Styela clava: one gene and its partners. The protein of the gene in region 2 purifies or fractionates together with the protein of the main gene of each other region. This does not show direct contact. Links are inferred from orthologs where the notes say so. Each region holds a gene or a part of one and is shown on either strand. Other genes may lie near its edges.

Region 1 (7,644 bases), on a different chromosome or scaffold from region 2:
GGCTAGAATTCGTTAGGTGCGCACAACCATCTGTAATTGACATTAGATGATGAACTTCCCTTTTTCCTTATGGTATTATGAAATCAAACATTGTTATTAATAAATTCCTACCCAAAATACTGGAAGATCCTTGATGCCATTTTCACAATTCAAATTATTTTTCAATTCAACCTTGAAGATATGCCGCTCATCAGTATTGTAAATCTTCCTGTGCATTGATGAAACCTCCACCATTGGAGACCTGTAATACTGTTTCGAGTTACGAGGTGTCAGAGAGACTGGTCTAGTTTGACGAGTGGCCATTTTCCAATCTGGCAAGAAATACAAATAAAATTCAGGTATAATAAACACATTTCATGTACATACTGTTTTTTTTGGTACTTGGGAATGTGTTATAAATATGTGTTGCACTGAATGAAGTCACCGACTAATGAGTACAGCGGGATGGGTGAGGACAGAAAATGGTCACTGAACAATCATTAATTCATTACAGATGCTCAAATAAATACTAAGATTCTGTAGAAAGTGGTAGGATGGATGCCTATGATTTTATATGTTCCGGTACCGGTATACCCGGTACCTAATAAGAAATGGTGATCCCACTTTGGCCCAAAACCGGTAATTAGGGCCACGAAAGCATATTTTGACGGTGGTTTTGCTTAGGATATACGGTATGCTACCTTCAGTGAATATAGCAAGACTTAGCAACTAGCCTAGATTGAAAGGGTGCCGAATTCGATAAACCATATATTTACGGATAAACCCATTATACTTTTGGTTGGAGGCCAACGACTTTGCTTTGAGCAACCTTGTAAATAAAACTGTAAAATGATACCGTACATCAAGTCTCACTGTTCGCCTGTATAATTGCGAATGTTTACATGTCCCGAGTTATACACTTTCAGAGTATATTTGTTCATCATTTGGGGTTTAATCATCGCTAGTTTAACTCAGGGTGCTCCAAACCCAGGCCCGTTATTACCCAGCTTCATGTGGCCCGCGTCGCATTCGCAGAGTAATCAAAAAATTGCATTTGGGGTTGATGAGTTTAGTGTGTTTTTTGGTGGTTTTTGCATGTTATAGCTTGATAAATGACCAATACTGATGAGTGTCTGTACAATAAAAGGGTTTTGTATTGCCCCGTTTATCTAATCTTGGCACTATTGTGGCCCGCGAACGATGAAAAAATAATTTTATTGTCCCGGAGCCGACAACCTTGGACCACCCTAGTTTAACTTATGGGTGTGACGTGGCATAAAGAATGCGTATATTTTTAAACATAACTTGACGAGTCCGGCAAAGTGAGCCCCTTGAAAACCAATGAAAAGTGCTCGGTCAGGTCATGGATGAGCAGGTAAGCAACGTGTTTCTGTGATTCGCATTTATAAAATTCGAAATGTAATTGCACATGGGTTTAAGTTATTACTGATGAATATCATAATTATTTATTTGTTTTATTTAATATTTGAATGTTGTTATGAAAACGATTAACGGCGCGGAATTTCCTTAGTTGTAAGTGGCGCATTCATCTGATTTGGGAAATTGAAGGACGCGTCTTTACTTTTTACCTTGTGTACACGAATCCCGCGTTCGTTGATAGTGACTCGCTAAAAGTTTTACAACAGAAAGCGAAGGTACCGGTACCGCATTTGTTGAATTGAGATTAATTCTATAATAGCGATTTGAATATATTATATTGAGAAACCGTGACATATCGTCTCCTTACTTTACTGTCTAAATAGACTACAACTAGCATTGTTGAATTGAGCTACCGTACCGTACATTTTATATTTATGTAATATTCGAAAACTGTGGCATACAGGCATACGGTACCGACACCCTACTATTGCTTTTTTATCGGCATATAGTACCTGTAACATTGTATCAGTGGGTAGCCGAACTTCAGCGCTGTTCTGTAATTAACCTTCTGTATGACCATCTTAGTAGGCTATTTTATGCTTGTTTTACTGTTTTAGAAGAGTGGCCATAACTGTCAAAGTCTTGTTGGGTTCTGGTTTAGTTTTCACAATCACAAAAATGGAACTAACTGCTGACGGATATGATAAAGATCATTGTGCAGAAATAATGAAGAAGCTTAACGAAATGAGAAAAAATAAAGAATATTGTGACATTGCAATAAAGGTTGGTAATGAAGAAATCTTAGCACACAGAAATATTTTGTCCACAGGGTCAGACTATTTCAGAGCAATGCTGTTTCATGAAAATGTTGAAAGTCGATCTGGCGTCATTCAAATGAAACAAACTGAATTTTCAAGCGTTAGGATTTGCATTGATTTCATTTACACTGGACATGTTAGCATTCCTGACTCTAAAAATTGCAAACAACTAATGCATACTGCTCATATTATGCAGCTACAAAAAGTTTGCGAGAATGTTGCGACATATCTTCGAAAGAAAATAAATATAGAGTCGTTTTATTCAGCAAAGATAATTGCAGATATGTTCAATTGTACAAAATTACTTGAATGTTGTGAAAAGTTTGCTTTAAAAAATTTTCAACATTTAGCTATGAAGGATGATTTTAAACATTTAGAGAAGGAATTTGTTTCTTTGTTGATTGGATCACGGAATACAAAAGCTTCCGAAGACATAAAATGCAAGGCTCTGATTATTTGGACAAATTTTGAGAGAGGAACTCGAACTTCTACTTTTGAAGCACTTTTTGAAAAATTGAATTTGACTAAAATTGCTTCGAAATATCGGTCATATCTTATTCAAAAAGAGCCTTCAGTTTTCAACTCAGATTTATGTACGAGTGCTCTAACTCAAGCCAATGATTTAACAAATGTAGAGCCAGAGGATGTTGACATAGCCACCTCAAAATTTGTGACTAATGAAAATGTAATTGCAGTGTTTAGTAAAACAACATGTTCCATCCATGTTTTCAATCCATTTCTGAAAACCTGGACAGAAATGCAGAAGATCGATAAGGAATTTGTTGCTAAATACTTCACTGCAGCAGTGCTTAATGACATTATATATGTTTTTGGAAATTACGGGAACAATTATAAGTTGGATTACATCGACATCAATGCTACATGGGTTCGACTGGACGATCGAAAATCAGCTAAGAAACGTGCGATCGGTGTTGCCTTTGGCAACTATATTTACGCATTTGCTGATCATGGTTGGTATAGTAATGCTGTTGAGAAATATGACCCATATGATGGAACTTGGTCTGATGTCACGCATAAGCCAGTGGAAGGATTTGGATCATCTATTGTTTCTCTTGAAAGTTTCATCTACTGCATAGGAGGGGTGAACAATACTGGACATATGTCGAATAACTTGAGATTTAATCCATTAGATTTAACATGGAGAGAACTTCCGTCAATGCCAACTGCACGAAAATTTTCTTCTGCAGCCGGACTCGAGGAAAAAATTTATGTAATGGGTGGGACTCAAAGCTTCCATTTGAATATTGTAGAGTGTTTCGATATAGTTGCAGAAACGTGGACCACTGTTGCTAGTTTAAACAATGCAAGGGCAAAGTTTACTTCATGTGTTGTGGGAGATAAGCTATTTGTTGTTGGAGGGGAGCTTTCTAACAATACAATTGAAGAACTGGATCCTGAGAGTAATAACTGGAATGTTGTAGATAAAATGAGTGGAAAATTCATTCAAGCCAATGCTTCCGTTCCACTGTATATTCTTCTCCCTTAGCAAAGGTTGAATTTGTTGATCTACTTCCCTACCTAGAAAAGTTTTCTGTCAACACACAACTGTTGTCTTTTAGATCTCATTTATTTGCTATCAGGTCGCCTTCCAGCTGGAAGACAAAAAACTGTGCTCGCAGTCTCACAAATCAGTTTTAGCTTCTGAACTCGGTTTGATTGCATTGTTTCAATTGTATTGACACACAAGTTCAGCAATTTTATGCGATTATTGTATTACTTATAAGTGTATAAAATTTGTATTGGGAATTAATATTCATCGATATTGATGTAATGGATCATTTGAAACCAGCACTGTGAAGTAGAAGCTTGTTATGTTTGTACTGGTATTGTAGGGAATTAAGAGAGACACCTTTTTAACGCAAAATGAAAGCGATAGAAATATTGGGAAACCGGCAGTTATGCAGAGGCGAGAGCCGTTGAAGCACGCACCCCGGCGCTTACTGACTTTGGCCGATATATATCGTTGGTTTACTGCCGATCGGAATTAATTTATATAATTTATATCGGCCCGATATATCAGTAGACCGATATATTGGTCGAGCTCTCATTATTAACATGAAAATATAATTTATATCATTATTATTTTATAACATATTATTATGAACACTGTATTCTTAGACTTGTGAATAATAGAATTTAAATTTTGTCTAAACCAAAATTACCATCAATGGCATTAGTTCATTTCCCACTGTGTATATCATTTCCACCAACTGCTTAATTCTATTTTTGTAAAATTTTTATTTCTACCATCTTAAATCCCTCATTTTATTCGCTGGTATATTCTTTCCTGAGCTGAATGACCATAATAACATGATTTGCGTTTTGAAAGCTGTTACTTTATTCCTTTTTGACAGTGTGCTTTTCTGAAAAATATTGTTGATGATGTGTATGTGGCTACTTTTTCTTTATATTGGCGTATTATACTTTTGAATGTTCAATTCAATTTTTTATTTATGTTAAAATCTTATTTGTAGGTATTTTATAAATACCGTTTTTGCCCCTTACACAGGGGAGGCCAGGATTATAGCGAATGTACCACTGATAATTCAAATAAAAGTACAAAAAAACAAAAAATTTGGGCAAAAATCTTACCGCCCAGAATTACTTCCTCATGTTATTAATCTTGGGTAACATTACTGCTCATTTGGTGCAAACTGTAACATATCGTATGTATGCTAACCACTGAGATATTGTGTTCTACAATTACATTACCACTGTTCCATGAGTTGGCATCTTTTTCATAGAGAAATAAAACACTTTCATATTATTTCCACTGTAGATATAACATATATTCCTGCATTTTTTTGTATTTTCAGACTCAAAATCGAATTTATAAATTTAGTGAAATTTTTTCTGCTATAAATCATCATGGCTGCTGCAAGAGAGCCACGTTGTACTGCAGGAAATCGGATGTCAAAGGTCATGGAAGAGGAACTAGACGAGGATGACTTTTATAAGACTACGTACGGAGGTTTTGAAGAGGAAAAAGAAGATAATGATTTTGAGTCGGACCAAGAAGATTCCGCAGACGAAGTCGACTCAGATTTCGATATCTCGGAAAACGATGAAATTGTCAGCGATCAAGATGAAGAAACTATAAAACAATCTGAGAAAAAACGAAAAAGAGGAGCGAACACAAAAGCTTATAAAGATCCCTCAATTAAAAAAGCAAAAAAAGATGAAAAAGAAATTAGTAAAAGTGATGATAACAAGGAAGAAAAAGTTCCGAAAGAGGCGAAAAAAACTGAACCAACTGCCGTAAACAATGACGGGCCAAGTCGTAAATCATCTCGTCGCGCCACGGCAGCAAATTCCTATTTAATAAGCATGAAAGTAAAAGAACGTAAAATCGCAGACCAAAAGAAAAAAGAAACTGTGAAAAAACCAATGGCTGGAGTGAGACGTTTGACCCAGGAAGAATTAATGCAAGAGGCGGAAAGAACGGAACGTAAAAACTTGAAATCGCTGCACAACTATCAACGTCTCGAAGCAAATCGAAAAAAATCTAGCACAAAAAAGCGAACATTTGCAGAACCAACAATCAAATACTTATCGACAACAATGCCATCAGTGGACCCGGATGAGCCATCAAAAATTTCGAGAGATTTTATAATTTTCTCTGAACCTGAAGTTTTTAAAAATGAATTCCACTGGAAAAAACAGCCTCGAATCAATAAACCTATATGTCCAGTTACAAATAAGCCTGCCAGATATATAGACCCACTTACTAATATTCCTTATTATGACATGGATGCTTTTAAACTTATTCGTGAAGCACATACTTTATCACTGGCAAAACGTGATAAGGTAAAATGATTCTATAAATTTCTGGTTACACCTGATGGTTACATCTGGCAGCCTCATTATCTGTGGCCCGTGTCACATTTGCTGGAGATTATTAATCAAAAATCGCATTTGTCTAGTCATAAAAATAACCAGAAAAATCTTTCGACATATTGTTGCATCACTAATGTCACTGAATTGACTAAGAGTTATGACGATTTGCACATTTTAGAAAGTTTTTTGATGGTCTTTGCATGTTTTAGCTTGATAAATGACAAATAATGATCGATGTGTTTGCACAATAAAAGTGTTTGTTTTTTATTGCACTGTTTGCATATTCTTGGCACTATTGTGGCCCCTGAACAATGCAAAATTAATATTGTTGTTCCCAAAGCGGACAACTTTGGACCACCCTGGCTTAGACTGATAGCTTCCTGATGCATAAGCCAACTTTTCCGATTCAAAAAGCATTTCCAGGAACATTCTTCTGTGGCAAGGTTACTAATTTACCGTAGTAAAATGCTCAGATGTTATGACCTTGCTGCCCATCAAAAAATAATTAACACTGTATAATGGTTTGGATTATTCACATTAAAAGCAACATGCGACTTAATCATGTAAATTTTTTTGATGAGTCATTTTAAAATCTATACGCTGTCATGTTCACCTGAAGTTGAACTCTTTCAAATTTTGTAAAATTGAGTATACACTGCCTTAATTTTTATTCTACATTTTTCCAAGCCTAAGCTATAGTGCAGTTCTGTTTATTTGTGAAAAAATTTCCAATCGCCTGAGATCTTGATTATCTTTATGTTTGTACCCTGGTCTGTTTTGTCATTTAGGGTACGGTAGGATTTACATATTTATCCCAAGGGAGAGGAAAGCTGCTAAGACGACTTAATCACATAAACCACAGTTTGTCGTCCGGTTACATATCCATGTCGGGTATGGGATTAATTAACCAGTTATTTGTTTCAGATGCATGGACTTGATGCTGAAGGAAGCCTTAACCGACTAGCAGTTATGTGAACCAGCCTATGGCGGCGAGGAGTCTACCAATCCTCTCACACATAATTATCTCCAATGGGATTCGAACCTGCGAACACACAAAAGGTAATCGGAGGTGCAGTGGCGAGCATATTCCTATCGCATAGCACGATGCGCCACACTGCCGAGCCCTCACTTAAATTTTCTAATATGTGACTGTTAAACCTATTAAAATTATTCGGAGTGTATCTCTTTGTTTGTGCTGCAAAATTTTTCCAATTTTTCATGTATAAGATTTTGGTAATGTTTACTAGGGTTCCATTACATTTGAACCCACGGACATTTGAACCCATGACAATTGCACCTGCATACTATTGCACATATGGAAATTTTTTTGTTTTACCGATAATTGAACCCATACTCACCCTAACCCATGGGTTTTAGCAACCGCATATAGATTGAACCCGCGGATATACGCATGGGTTCAAATGTCCGGTCACCGTTTACTAGATATCAGTAATATCTGGTCTGTTACTCTGAAAGAAAAGTTTTTCTTCATTATTTCCATTTATATCAATTATTTTCTTTTCTAGATTGAATATGCCACCAAAGTTAAGGTTACCGCCTCTGCCATCCATTGCAAGCATTCTTAAAATTTATAATGTCCGAGCAAAGA
Region 2 (6,816 bases):
AATGGGAAAAAGCTTCGTTCCACCTCTAAAAATATTGACAGTGAGAAAGAAAAATATATAACAGTGAGCTAGAAACTGTATGACGTTATAAAGAACGAGATATCCTCTCCTTAGCATATCTACTGTTTCCTCGTATTTCTTCTTTTCATTCTTCAATTCTCTCAGGAAAGACGATTCCTGTTCCTTTCTTTTTTCATCTTCCTCATCAGACTCGGACCTCCACTTGTCAAAATCCAGTTTCAAGAAATGGGGACTCTTTTTTTGCGAAGTTAATTGAGGCCACCATTCACCCATTCCTTCTTTTGTTAAGAAAACTTCAACAGATGATCCAGTGACTTTATGAATACAACTTTCTTCATCAATTGGTTTATAGAATTCTAATGAAAACTTGTACTGATTTTCACCGTTTGCTCCAACGCCTTTGGCCTCGAATGTCATGGATTTAGTCTTCAGTACAATATTAGGATGATGACATTGTTGCAACTCTATCTTTAAGCTCAGCATATCCTTGCGTTGTGCCCATCTTACAGTGGGTAACAAGGTTGCATATTCTCCATCACCCATTATGCAAAATGCCTATTTATTAAAATGCATAAAGCTATGGAAAAAGGAGGAAAAATTTACTGGTATGATAAAGTCAAAACTACTATTATGACATTCGGTCACCTAAAATAACAATAATTTTTAACAAATTATAGTATATCAGTGAATAATACCTTCACAAATTCATCTTGCCTCGCCAATTCTGTTATTTGATAATTAAATCGAAAATTGATTTTTATCTATCAAGTAAGCCAAAACCAAAAAAATTCACATTTTGATAATTGGCTAACAAAATTTCTGATGAAATATATATATATCTAGAGTGTTAAGCAAACTTAACCAACAATGAGCTCAATTCCACTATACAAAGCGTTCATAATGAAATACTTGATACAACATCCAGAATAATATAGGCCCATAGTTTAAAGTGATATCATTGTAAGAATACAATCGCAATTCTTGTCAATTATTAATAACTGAACAAAGCTAAATGATATTACACAGGAGATATATGCTCGGACCACTTTGGCTAAGACTCGCTCTTAACTTTAATAACTCCAAGTGGCAGAAACAAGGGTGAGCAAGTCTCTCAACAGTATCAGTAGTTTATTTTTACACATGCCGAAAATACACATTGTACATACAGAACAAAGCATTAGTGAACAATGCTTAAGTGATATCTCTTTGATTAATCCAAGTCGTCTCGTTTTTGTATTTACAATGATTATAAAAATCTATATATCATCATGGCAATGTTTACATAGCGAATAACAATTCTGAGTTTATATTTTGTATTGCTAAATGATGCACATATACCCCTCGCTAAAAACTTATGATTGGAATGCCATAAAAATAGAAAAAAATACATATTGGTCTTTGTAAATTCGTGATTATCTCAAGAGTGATCAGTAATTAGATTATTATATGTTGATAATGTAGTCATAGTCATAGCAACATGAATGGTTCAAAGTTTAATTTGGAGCCAAAATAGGCATTGGAACATCTTGTTGGTAAAGAAGTTTTTAGCTTGACTTAGGATTTTCATAAAAAATTAATCATAGAAAACAGCAAAACTATTTTTGAGCAGAAATTACACAAAAAATGAACATATTTGCTTTTAAATTATCTATTAGAAAAAAGTTCCGCTTCGTCACAAATTGTTTTAATCTTGATTCACATCCTACTGTCCGGGCCAACTTTTGATTCTTGCATCGCATTTAATCCTTTCAAACATTTCACTTTTTTCCGAATAATTGACATATGTCTGAATGTAACATCATTCTCGTGAAAATGGGATTAAATCACCGCCTCCGCTTACTTGATCCGGGACCGGAAGCTCCGACAGCAGGACTTACCGATGTAACATTTCTAGTTCGTTTTCTATTGCTTTTTGCACTTGGAGGTGTGCTTTTGCTTTGCAGCTGTAAATCTTTATTTGAGGATGACTTTGCTGTTGATGGCGTTTTTACTGCAGCCTCATGCTGCTCTTTTTTTGTTTTATCTTTGCCAAAATTTAAAATGTCTTCAGGTAGTTGAAAATGCTTTACATTGTTATTAAAAGGCAAAGCGTCTGATTCATCCAATACTGCAAGATTATACATTGTTGATAAATGTTCCCATATTTGAGCACTCGTTACAGGTTGTCCCAAAGATTGAGCAAATTTACTGTGAATTCCCATCATATGAAAATGTTTATTAATTCCGACAGGTTTATGTCCTCGCATGGCATAAAATAGACAAACTTCAGTATCCGCATTCCAAAGTATGGGTGATACTGATGGTCGCTCAATTATTTCACCCATTTTTCTACAGAACTGTATAATACTGTAATATAAGTCTGATTAAAAATAAATAAAAAACTTAAATATGTAGGCCTATTTACTTTGCGACCTTTCAAAAGACTACTGGATTTGGAACCTTCAGATAAAGACGAATAAATTTTCCCAACCATCAGAACATACAGATCTCAATCTCAAATCCCTGTACAGCTGTACCGAACGGTATGCTTTCTGGATTAATACCGGTACCTGTAACCGTGTGAAAAAAAATCTGAGATATACCGGTAGTCTAGTACCGGCGGTACCGGTACCGGTAGTACATTAGCGGTACGGTACCGTATGTGTGCATGTTTATTTGCCTCAAAAATGTAACAATATCTAATACAGACATACCGTAATAATTAAACGGTACCGCCGGTATAACAGAGACAGGATACCGTACAGTAGTCAAGTAGTATGGCTGTATGGTACGGTACCGTAAATTGATGCAAAAACAGAAAAAAAGATACTAGATTAAATGATACCGTACTCCCAATACAATGTCTAATCATTAGTCAAATGATATTCGACTGATCCCCTGAGGCGCAGTTCTTACCACTTCATGGCAGCTCCTGCCACGAACTAACCGCGGCAGCTATTGCCATGGTTTTATAGCGCTATTCAGTAATCAGTATTTACGGTATATTCACAAATTAATGTACCAGATTTTAACGGTACCCAATATTTGTCACCATAAGCGACATCCCTGTCTCTACGGCCCACCTGCCGTGTTTACGGCAGCAAAATTTTACAAACCATTGGTTTTCAATTTGCTGCCGCGGTAACGGCATCTCGTCCTTGGTTTGTGGCAGCTAAAAAGTCAGTCGCCATCATTGAGGTGTTCATTGGGACCAATTTGGACGCCATAGGTTTGGCTGTGGTATGGAAATACCGCCATGGTTTTGCGGCAGCTGCAGACGCCACAGAATACTTAAAACTGCACTTGGATACCCTGATGTGTGGTTGTAGAATTTATCAAATCTGTAAAATCCTGAATCAGCGCCTAACTCGACCATCCGTATAATTTGGAGGTGTTTATCACGACACTGTGACGTCTAGTGACGTAATATTTTGGAGACGTAGTCAGGTGGGGGCAATGACATTAAACAAGATGATAGGCAACTCTGACGTCACTCCATAAGACTACAGGCGGAAGATTGTATTTCATGATACGCTCCAATGCACATATTTCTCGTCGCCTTTCGCGTCCGTTTTCCGCTCGCTTTTGCTACTCGGTGTCTTTTTTACGTGTAGTACCTGCCTTTTTGCGCCTGTAACAAAACAAAATAATCTCTATATCTAAGAACTTTTGCTCACTTGGAAAGTTGGAATCAAATCAGAAAGTTTTTTTTTATCAGAGAATATTACAGACGCGATAGCGGAAAGATTTGTGTGGAACATTTTGCAGATAATGACAAAGTTCAAAGTTAGTAATTTTAATGTTTGCGCTTAATCATTGAAATTTCATTTAAAGAGGGGTGTCATACAAAACTGTGCTGTGATACAATTCCATACAATTCCAAGTTTGCACCTATCGAACTTGCTTTTGTAGGTGAATTGATTAGACATATTACATATTCAGTTAATCGTAGGTAACATTGCTGGTACATAATGCATCGTAGATAGGTTTGTTTAAATTCAGGAATTTAGCTCATAGCCCACTAATTAATATTATCTTCTATGCGGGAGGTTGCAGGGCTGAATTCAACTTGCAGCCTTACCGACCACCTGACGATGCTCATTTAGTTTGGCTCGAGCAAGTCTTCTTGAAATGCTTGTGTGGATGGAAACTACCTATATTTTTTGCCTTCCTCCGATTTTAGACAAATTTATTCTGAGGGATTTCGCATATAATTCTCATTGATTGTTGGCTGTTTATAATTCCTATTGATTGTGAATTCTGATTATAACAAAGAGTTAAAAAATTTTTATCTAATTTACTGGCACCTTTTTCTTGTCAATACTCCAAGCTGAGGTAATAAACAAGACAATACATTTATGTCATCTGGAAGCAAAATATGCACACTAATTAATAGTTTGGCACATTGAGATAATACATCATGACATAAAATACAAGTTAAAGATATGTATGACCATCACATGGTAATTAAAATTAAAAAAAATTAATAGGGGCTGTGGAGTATGAAAAGTTCAAGACAAAGAAAAGAACAAATGTTCATAGCTCATGAACTCTCAATTTTGCCTCCATTGCTTTGTGAAGGCCAATATATTTCGAGTGGCTGAATTGGTTTACCTTTATGATAGCAACGATTTTGTATTCAATATAGCGAGATTATTTCAAAATAATTGAAGTGATATTATTTCCCAAAGCAATTCTTGAATCGTCTGGAATAGATCAGTGGTCTCAAACTTATGGGTTTTCGAGAGCCGCATTGCATTTCGGAAATTGTAAAAAGAGCCGCAAACAGTTTTTGATAATGTATACTTAAAAGATATTTTTAAGATAGTTTTAGTTTGTGACATATATTGTGATGCAACTAAACAGTTGGATTAAGTTTTAAAATTTTCTTCAATTTCAAATGCAATTACATATTAATATTTGCATTCCACTATTATTGCAACATTTGCAAGTTACTGTATTTATTATAAAAAATTATAAAATTCTATGTACAACCATCAAAATCATTTTTGAACAAGCTTTGAATAAGGAAAGAATAATACATACACTAAAAATAACTTAATCTAAATATATGAACCTAAAATTAACAAAAATACTACAGTATAAACTCAATGTTTTAATAATTACATTTGTCCTGACGTTTGGCATCTTTTTTGTGTCACCAGCATACTAAGGCCAGGCTGTAATGATTTTATAGTACCGACTCTAACTAACGAGGCCACATGATCATGGGTTAATCTGGATCTTTGCGAATGTTTAATTAACTCCAGTAATACAAAAAAGTTACTTTTATCATTTCATGTATAGATCAGTAAAAAAAACAAATGACAGATTTTTTTGAGAAGACATTTCGCACCACATTGCGTGGTATAGGATCGCTTGAATTATTATTGATATTGATTTTTAGTAACTAAGTCGTTGTATAATTATATTAATATACAAACACATGGAAATTTTCTGTCCGAAGTTGGTCTTCGAATTTGTCATATTGACTGCTGAGCTTATTGTGTTTTTTCATTGTATTGATGGAAATATGACAAATTAAACAATGTGCTTCAGAATTTTGTGAAAAGCAGAAATGTTACAACTCCCATTTTCTTCGAAAATGCCACCTCCTTCATGTACTTTGCGTTTAATTTAATCACTCAAGTGTTTTATTCAAGTATTCTTTTGCAAGCTTGATGTGTATTCTTAATTGGGTCAAAATGTGGACAAAAAAAATTATTATTCCAAAACTTCTTTCAGTAAATTGTATTCTGTGTGAATAATCAATTTCACTTTAAAAGGTTTGAAAAATCTATTACATTTAGACAAAAAAAAACTTCCAAAATACTATTACAATTATTGTTAAGCGTTCGAGGGCCGCACTGGAAGTTCTCTGGGGCCGCGAGTTTGAGATCCCTGGTCTAGATTGAAGTTGTGCAAAAAATATATGATAGTATTTTATCATGAATGATGATTATACCCCTTCCGGAATTTCTTCTATAGTACTACCAAAAGTTGATGAACCAAATATAACACAGGTGCAGTGAGTTACCCGTAATCCTCATTTTCCAAAGCTGTTTTAAGTATGTCTGGCGTGTTTTGTGCCTTTTTACAAATAAGACCGAGTATGCAATTTTACGCTTTTGAATTTTTAGTTATTTTCCTCAAGCCCTGCAGGATGTGGGGGCCATACACAACTCTACCGGAGGGTCAAATGTCTTTGCATGTCTCCATAGGTTGTTTTTCTATTGCAGAGTACTCTAATTATATTTCTTGGAATCACACTGTCACTGATATGTCGCCAGACTTCTGATATCTCCCCTTCTGCTACAGTTGTCCTGTGAATAAAAAGGTGCTGCAGGAGTCTCACAATGCTTAGACAGGTTTGTCCACAACTTTCACATCTGAAGAAACAGAGGAGATTTATTAATTTTCGTTAAGAATAAATAAAGCAGTCTATATGATTTAGAATGGAAAAGCTAATAAATCCAATATCTCATGTTTTATGTAAAAAATATTTTACTGAATTTGGTATATAATTCCGGCAAATGGGCAACTACGTACCGTACTGAATTAATAACTTCGTAGTATTTGACAAAGGCTGGCTTTCCCACATGTACTTAACAGTGCGATGACCGGGTGTGATATACAATAATAGTATTTACCTTACCTTTTTCCGATTTTTTTTACCTTAACTTTCCAAAATATCATTAAAATCGACAACAACTGTCAAAGCAGGCACGAACACCATTCGTGCTACGCCTTGAAAGCAGCACACATCCGCTCGTTTTCGTCTCGTCAAGTATGTGCATTGGAGCGTGCTATCGAATA
Region 3 (6,976 bases), on a different chromosome or scaffold from region 2:
TTTTGGTGCTTCAGTGAGATTAACACAGCCATAATGGAACCATTCCACTGTGCATTTACTATTATCACACCCAACCATTTCACCATACGACACTTGGTTACAGATGCAATACCGCGGCTCATTAGGATCGAGTGTCCAATCAGAAGAAGCATTACTGCTTTCTCCGACGAGTTCAACCATAGAGCTGTTTGGTGAAATATGATCTTTTTCTCGCGCATGACCACGCCTAGCCTCAGCCTGCATGCGCTCTTGAGTCCAAGCAGCTGCACGTGAAGTTTGTTTTTTCGTTCTAGATGGTCTTGAACCTGTGGGTGACATTAATAGACCATCCTGAGTGGAATGGCAAGAGTCTTCATCCATCATGTCCTCACTAAGAGGCAATTTACAATCAACAAAATCTGGGGGTAATCCTTGTTGGAAATCCTCCTGTTTGATAGTAGTTTCTGACAGTTTAATTCCAATGTTATTTGTTTTCAAACCTCCTGGATGCCTTACTGACTGTCCCTCTGTAGCAACTGGAGTCTGGAGAGCACTAATGATAGATTGACCGGTACCTGAAAATAGATTTTAGTTCATATGATGTATACAGCAAACTAGTCTCATAACAATGTCAAACTAACACATATGCAACACTGATTACTAAATTTCAGACACAGAGCAGTTGTTGTGAGAACATATCTTCAAGTTGGAAGTAGATGAAAGGCTATTATAATTTCGCACAATCTTTGGAGTCCAATATTTCACTCCAAATTCTGCTGGTTTCATATATCATGGGCACATCTTCATATGAAATACAGTGCAATTCTTTTACCATTTGGCCTGATTTTGCGGACAATGCTATAGCCATGTTAGTCATTTCACACTCATGTCCATATATACGAGCACTGTTCTCTTGCTTTTTTAGGTATTCACAAAATGCATTTCATGACCCCATTTCTTCTTTTTGCTACAGAAATCAGCAACTTGACAAATTTTAACACTAGCTATGATTGACATGGACTGTAAATTAATTGCGTATTCAAAAATAAAATAGCCATATAACTAACCCGTAGTAGAATTTCTTGATGGAGGCCGACTGTTACTTCTTTCTACATCATTCCCTGAAGTTATTGTTGAGAAATCTGGTGATAATACCGAAGGTGGTGCCGATTCGGAATGAGAATACAACAAATCAAAAGCACCATCTAATCTCGATTTTTTATCCACAGGTCCATTTGATGTTCCAGGCAAAATGGCAGCAGAACTTGAAGCTACTGTGGTGGCATGTGCAAGCCGTTTTCTACTCTGCAAATGTTTTTTAAAATAAATTATACCTAATGCCATATACTTATATATATAAACTTTCAGTAAAATATTAATATGTTACAAGATAAAAGTTGGACAATCAATTTATTTTGTTCATCTGTTCAAAGAATCTATCAATTTATTATTCTCAAATTTCATTCGCAAAGTTATATTCAGAGACAACAGGAAATGAAAGTAGCAATTTACCGAGTGGCCAGTTTGAGATACATGGTTATCCAGCTCCAATGATCTTCTTTCCAGAATTTCAGTAATCCCTCCATTGTCTGCTTCTAATTCCATCTTAAATTTTGCAAGTTCCTGATCTAGTTTGCGAAGATGTCGGTCCACCAAATCATATATTTGATTTGCCAATTGTACCTAAATTTATGTTATATTAAACAAAAAATGAAACCCATTTGTGAAAACAGTAAATATAATTTAATTTGTGAAAGTTTAATGATAAAATAATCTCTGATTGTAGAATACTCAACTTCCAAATGCAAAATTGAAAACAGATTAAAATATAACTATGTTTCGATGTTATTTACTTTCTCATCAGCGTCATCCAATGCCTTGCGATAAGTTGCTCGAATGTCATCGAAGGTTTCATCGGCATTATCAATCTTTCCTTTCTTCGCAAGGCATGCACGAAATAATGACTTAACTCTTCCATTCAAATCATCTACAGTATTTTGAACCTGAAGAATTAGAAAAAATAGCCGTCAAGATCACTCTCAACTTTGTAATACGGATATGGCTGCCTGGATAGTTTTATTTCGACAATATGCATGAGCCAATAAATCGAACTGCTTGAAAAATAAACATAGATCAATGCCATAGAATATGATTGAATAAAAATAATATTCCGATACGTTTTATTGTAAATTTCCTTTATCAATGTACCAAATTGCAGTGTTCAACTACTCATTTTGTTACTATAAAAATCCAGAAGTTATATTTCACTGGAAATATCAGCATAGAAAAAATTAATTATTGAATCGGTGGCCATTTTTGAGTGGCACTAATAGACAGAATAAACATAAGAAAATTGGAAATGCATTACTGTTTCGTCACGGTACCTGTAAATCCATTTCACGCATATCAGTAAATCTATCTCTCACATCCACCGGAAGGTGCTCAATTAATTCAACGTAATCTTCTAAGTATAACATTATCGTCTAGATCTGCTTATGTCTGTATGTAAGACAGAGTTTGAGCAATTGAAATATAATTCATTTGACGCTCTTGATTTGTGGGGTCTCATGTACTTTCTTACCTGAATAACTTCTAGTGGGCGTGTCGTAACAATTTTATATGAGACCCCGTGCATAGGGTAGCACTGTAGTGGTGCAATATTGACTGTGTTTTATATTGTCACAGGTCATGCAGGTAGTTGTACGTTTTCACTTTTATCCTTAGTTATGCTTGCCTTCCACGTACCACAATTTCAGCATTTCGTTTGACCGTTAGTTGTGTTTTGTTTATGCCGGAGAGATCAGAATAAAATATATTGATGTCGTATTTGATTACTATACACTCCAAGGCAAGGGCAAGTTTGTGTGATAAATGAAACCTTCATTCTCTAGCTGTCTAGTCTATTCAGCTACCGTATTGGTCAACATTTTGATACAGTAAGGCCTGGAATGTGGAGTGGAAGTGGTGACTCCTCTAAGGCCCATGGGCCGGGGCCACGGCGCATGGAATTAGGCCTCGGCCCATCAGGCTATGGGCCGCGACCCATCAAGTTGTGTAACGGGTCCAGTATAGTTTAGTACCACATGTACTTCCGGTGGGCGTAGCATAACAATATTAGTATACCGGTATGTTATTCCTAACCCCCACCTAACTACCGGTACCGTATGTCATCCAAAAATTACGTCACTACGACGTCATAGAGCTTGCCAAGTACAGGTACCATCGTCCGAAATGGCATCTGCGCCGACGATATCAAACTCCCTAACGCCAGCGGTCTCTCTCATATCGGGATCGTTACGAAGAGAAAACGAGAGAAATAGCTTGCTCGATTTCGGGTGATTGTATGTGCGTTTTGGACGACCGTCCTTACACTTGGGAGGTATTTATTACGCCACTGTGGCGTCGTAGGACGTAATTAGGGTTAGGAATGGCATATGCAAAAATTGCTGAGCCAGGCCAACTATAAGTGCATGTGGTACTAAACTATACCAGACCCCCCTAATTGATATGTCCGTCAGCCCGTAAATATATACTACTAGGTCAGCCTGTACGGGAGGCGGACAACTCGACTACACGGACAACTCACCAAAGACAACTCGACTACAGAAAGGACTGGTAGGTTGTCCGTCTTTCCGCATTTTCTAAGGCGACCTTTCAAGACTACAGATATGTAATTTCGATTTTTTTATGGCTCCAATGGTGAGAAAAACAGATTAGTATTCCCGAGAAGGCATTTTTATGTGCATGAGTGACATACCTTGTTCAAGTTACACAAATATATCTATAGTCTACAAAAAAAACTTGGGTCTGTTGTAACGTTAGTGATGTTAGACTGCTGACGGTATAGGACTGCGTGCCGCGTGGGTTTGAAATTTGTTGATATTGGATGTTTTCAATGTGCATTTTTAAACATATTTAAACCTTTATATATGACAGTAACACATAGATATTCACGAATGTGATCTTCGTAGCCTACGGTATCCTGCGTCTCAACTCGCCTAGGTACCGTGCCAAACAATCGCTACGCGAAGATACAATGTCGAGAGGCAGACAACTCACCCACCAGTCGAGCAATCGCTCTTCTCGAGAATACTACAGTAATGTGTTTTTCTTGCCACTGGAGCCCTGAAAAAAATCGAAATTACACTCCTATGGTATTAAAAGCTCGCTGTAGAAAATGCGAAAAGACGGACAACCTACCAGGCCTCTCTGTAGCTGAATTGTCTCTGAAGAGTTGTCTGTGTCAGGTACATACGGGCTTTGGTCTGTGCAGTCGAGTTGTCAGCCCCCCTGCCGCAGACTACGCCATGAGGAGGCGGAATTCGAAATAATTCGTCTCTCGTGGAGGCGTATGGTGGCCCATCGTTGTCACGTGTAAAATTTAAAAAAAAAATGAAAAAGCGAAAATAAAAAAATAGTTGTGAAAAAACATAAAAATAATTGAAAAAAAAGAAATAAAAAAAAAAATTGAAATTAAAAAAAAAATTGAAAAATAAAACAAAAAAAAAAATTTAATAAAAAAATTAAAATTAAAAAAAAAATAAAAAAAAATAACAAAAAAAATAAAAATTGGATAAAAAGAAAATAAAAAGGTTGACAACGATGGTCCGCCTCGTGGCCCATCGTTGTCACGCGTTTTTATTTTTGGAAAATTTGATGCTGCTTGGGACCAACGTTGTCAGGCTTAATCCTACACGCACAAATGTGTTTCCTGGGTTTCTAACTCACTACTGATTTTCATGAGCAATATCCAATAAATTCAACATGAAAATGTTCTATAAATTCTCCATGCTACAAGTTCAACCACAAGCAATATATTTATAATAATGATAAGAGAATATAGAATTGGATACGAAAATTTGTTTTTACGTGTAGAAGATAATTTAATTGGAAAATGCTGCTTAACTGCTCAGACACTCGTGCGATGCCGGTACGGTACCGTCTGACCGTACCGGTACCCATGCAATCACTCGTGAAAGAATGGGAGATACGGATAGTCTCGTAGAATATAGTCTACTGAAACACTCTCTGCGCCTGCCCCATACCGTACAGCCGTAACGTACCGATCCAGACAAATGATAAATCGCCCGTGCTCAATCATTTATTTCAATCCATACCTCGACTCACTATATTCTACTAGGATCGAGGTATGGATTGAAATAAATGGTTGAGCACGGGCGATTTATCATTTGTCTGGATCGGTACGTTACGGCTGTACGGTATGGGGCAGGCGCAGAGAGTGTTTCAGTAGTCTATATTCTACGAGACTATCCGTATCTCCCATTCTTTCATGAGTGATTGTATGGCTACCGGTACGGTCAGACGCAAAGCGACTATAACCGACTACCGGTATTTGGTAAGACGGTACCGGCATCGCGAGTGTCCAGACAACTGAGTAGTTAAGCAGCATTCTCCAATTAAATTACCTTATACACGTAAAAACAAATTTTCCGAATTTTCGTATTCAATTCTATATTCTCTTATCATTATTATAAATATATTACTTCTTGTTGAACTTGTAGCATGGAGAATTTATAGAACATTTTCATATTGAATATTGCTCAAGAAAATCAGTAGTGAGTTTGAAACCCAGGGAACACATTTGTGCGCGTAGGATTATGCCTGACAATGTTGGTCCCAAGCAGAAGCAAATTTTTAAAAATAAAAACGCGTGACAACGATGGGCCACGAGGCGGACCATCGTTGTCAACCTTTTTATTCAATTTTTTTTTTTTTTAATTTTTTTTTTTTTTTAAATTTTTTTTTTTTGTTTTTTATTTCATTTTTATTTATTTATTTTTTTTTAATTTTAATTTTTTTTTTTAATAATTTTTATGTTTTTTTACAACAATTTTTTTATTTTCGTTTTTTTATTTTTATTTTCAATTTTACGCGTGACAACGATGGGCCACCATAGAGGCGCTACCAGGTACAGGTAGCGCATGCATAAAAAGATCAGTGAAGGATTCAAACTTCCAGACCACACAATGGATTTCGATATCATATGTGACGACCCTTGTTTTATCTGTTAAATCAGACCTACCATACGTCCCGGTTTGGCCGGGACAGTCCCGGTTTGAACGTCTGTCCCGGTTAGCAAAATGTCCCGGAATTTCACTTTAGTGTGGCTAATCTTAGAAAAGTAATGGAATATATATTTTGTCTACCAGGCACGTCGGCTTTTGCTGAAAGAGCTTTTTCTATGATGAAAACTATTTAGTCAGATGAAAGGAGTACGATGAAGAAGTCAACAGTAGAGGGTTTATTGATTTGCAAACTCAATATTGGCTTGAGCTGTAACGAGTTTTACACAAAAAATTAGAAATAATAAACAGTTTCTGAATACAGTTCACTCAAGTGAAAAATACGAAAGGTCAAACAAAAAAGCCAATGGTTTCTGATTGCATTCCCGTATAAATGTTTGATTTGTGAGATACTGTTATTTCTTTGTTCTCGGTGTTTATTCTTTCATTTTTTCTTATACATGTCTGATTTGTGACTTGGTGTTGCTTAAATTAACATCTATTTTCCTTTAAATATAGTAATAATTTTTTTTATTTAATCTAAGTAGAATACTTTACCATGCAATGTTAAAGTTTATAAATATAAATATGGAAAAAAATTGCCAAGCTCAAGCCTTCGGCCTTTCATTCATAGTTTTGAGTTTGTCTCGGATTATGCCCAAGAAATTAGGGTAAGTCTATGTTAAATGATGTCATGTGATATTGTTTCCATATTTGGTATTTTGGCATTGCGGACACTGGGGGGCGCTGTAACACTGTCGATCTGTTCTTTTAGGGCAGTGGTTCTCAACCTTTTACTGAACGCGTACCACTTTACTGTTTTTATTATGGCCGCGTACCATCGACAAAGCTCCTTTTTTGGCCTGGGGAAAAAGACGCAAGGTGTATTTTATAATGTGGCACTACATCCTTTGTGGCGTAACACGCAAAACAAACAAGAAACATGCCCATATCGCTTCATTTAAGGTGGGCAA

What was found. The genes of interacting proteins can lie anywhere in the genome.
Region 1: the proteins of MRG/MORF4L-binding protein-like (region 2) and vacuolar protein sorting-associated protein 72 homolog purify together in Homo sapiens (co-immunoprecipitation; 5 studies listed by BioGRID and IntAct, counting the BioPlex papers as one, with this or other methods). This does not show direct contact. The link is inferred for Styela clava from reciprocal best matches to the Homo sapiens genes MRGBP and VPS72.
Region 3: the proteins of MRG/MORF4L-binding protein-like (region 2) and inhibitor of growth protein 3-like purify together in Homo sapiens (co-immunoprecipitation; 4 studies listed by BioGRID and IntAct, counting the BioPlex papers as one, with this or other methods). This does not show direct contact. The link is inferred for Styela clava from reciprocal best matches to the Homo sapiens genes MRGBP and ING3.

The regions. Positions count from the first base shown.
Region 1 is NC_135254.1:7,385,227-7,392,870, forward strand, and holds vacuolar protein sorting-associated protein 72 homolog, read left to right. Parts: upstream 1-5,015; 5' UTR 5,016-5,066; coding exon 5,067-6,014; 3' UTR 6,015-7,111; downstream 7,112-7,644. Other genes in the region: kelch-like protein 12, read left to right, coding at 1,347-1,354, 1,977-3,684; dimethyladenosine transferase 1, mitochondrial-like, read left to right, coding at 7,569-7,644. UniProt on the Homo sapiens protein: Deposition-and-exchange histone chaperone specific for H2AZ1, specifically chaperones H2AZ1 and deposits it into nucleosomes.
Region 2 is NC_135261.1:10,775,874-10,782,689, forward strand, and holds MRG/MORF4L-binding protein-like, read right to left. Parts: upstream 2,416-6,816; 5' UTR 2,346-2,415; coding exon 1,845-2,345; 3' UTR 599-1,844; downstream 1-598. Other genes in the region: very-long-chain (3R)-3-hydroxyacyl-CoA dehydratase-like, read right to left, coding at 1-564.
Region 3 is NC_135257.1:15,701,875-15,708,850, reverse strand, and holds the start of inhibitor of growth protein 3-like, read right to left. Parts: upstream 3,034-6,976; 5' UTR 2,457-3,033; coding exon 2,364-2,456; intron 1,983-2,363; coding exon 1,833-1,982; intron 1,663-1,832; coding exon 1,492-1,662; intron 1,285-1,491; coding exon 1,047-1,284; intron 555-1,046; coding exon 1-554. UniProt on the Homo sapiens protein: Component of the NuA4 histone acetyltransferase (HAT) complex which is involved in transcriptional activation of select genes principally by acetylation of nucleosomal histones H4 and H2A.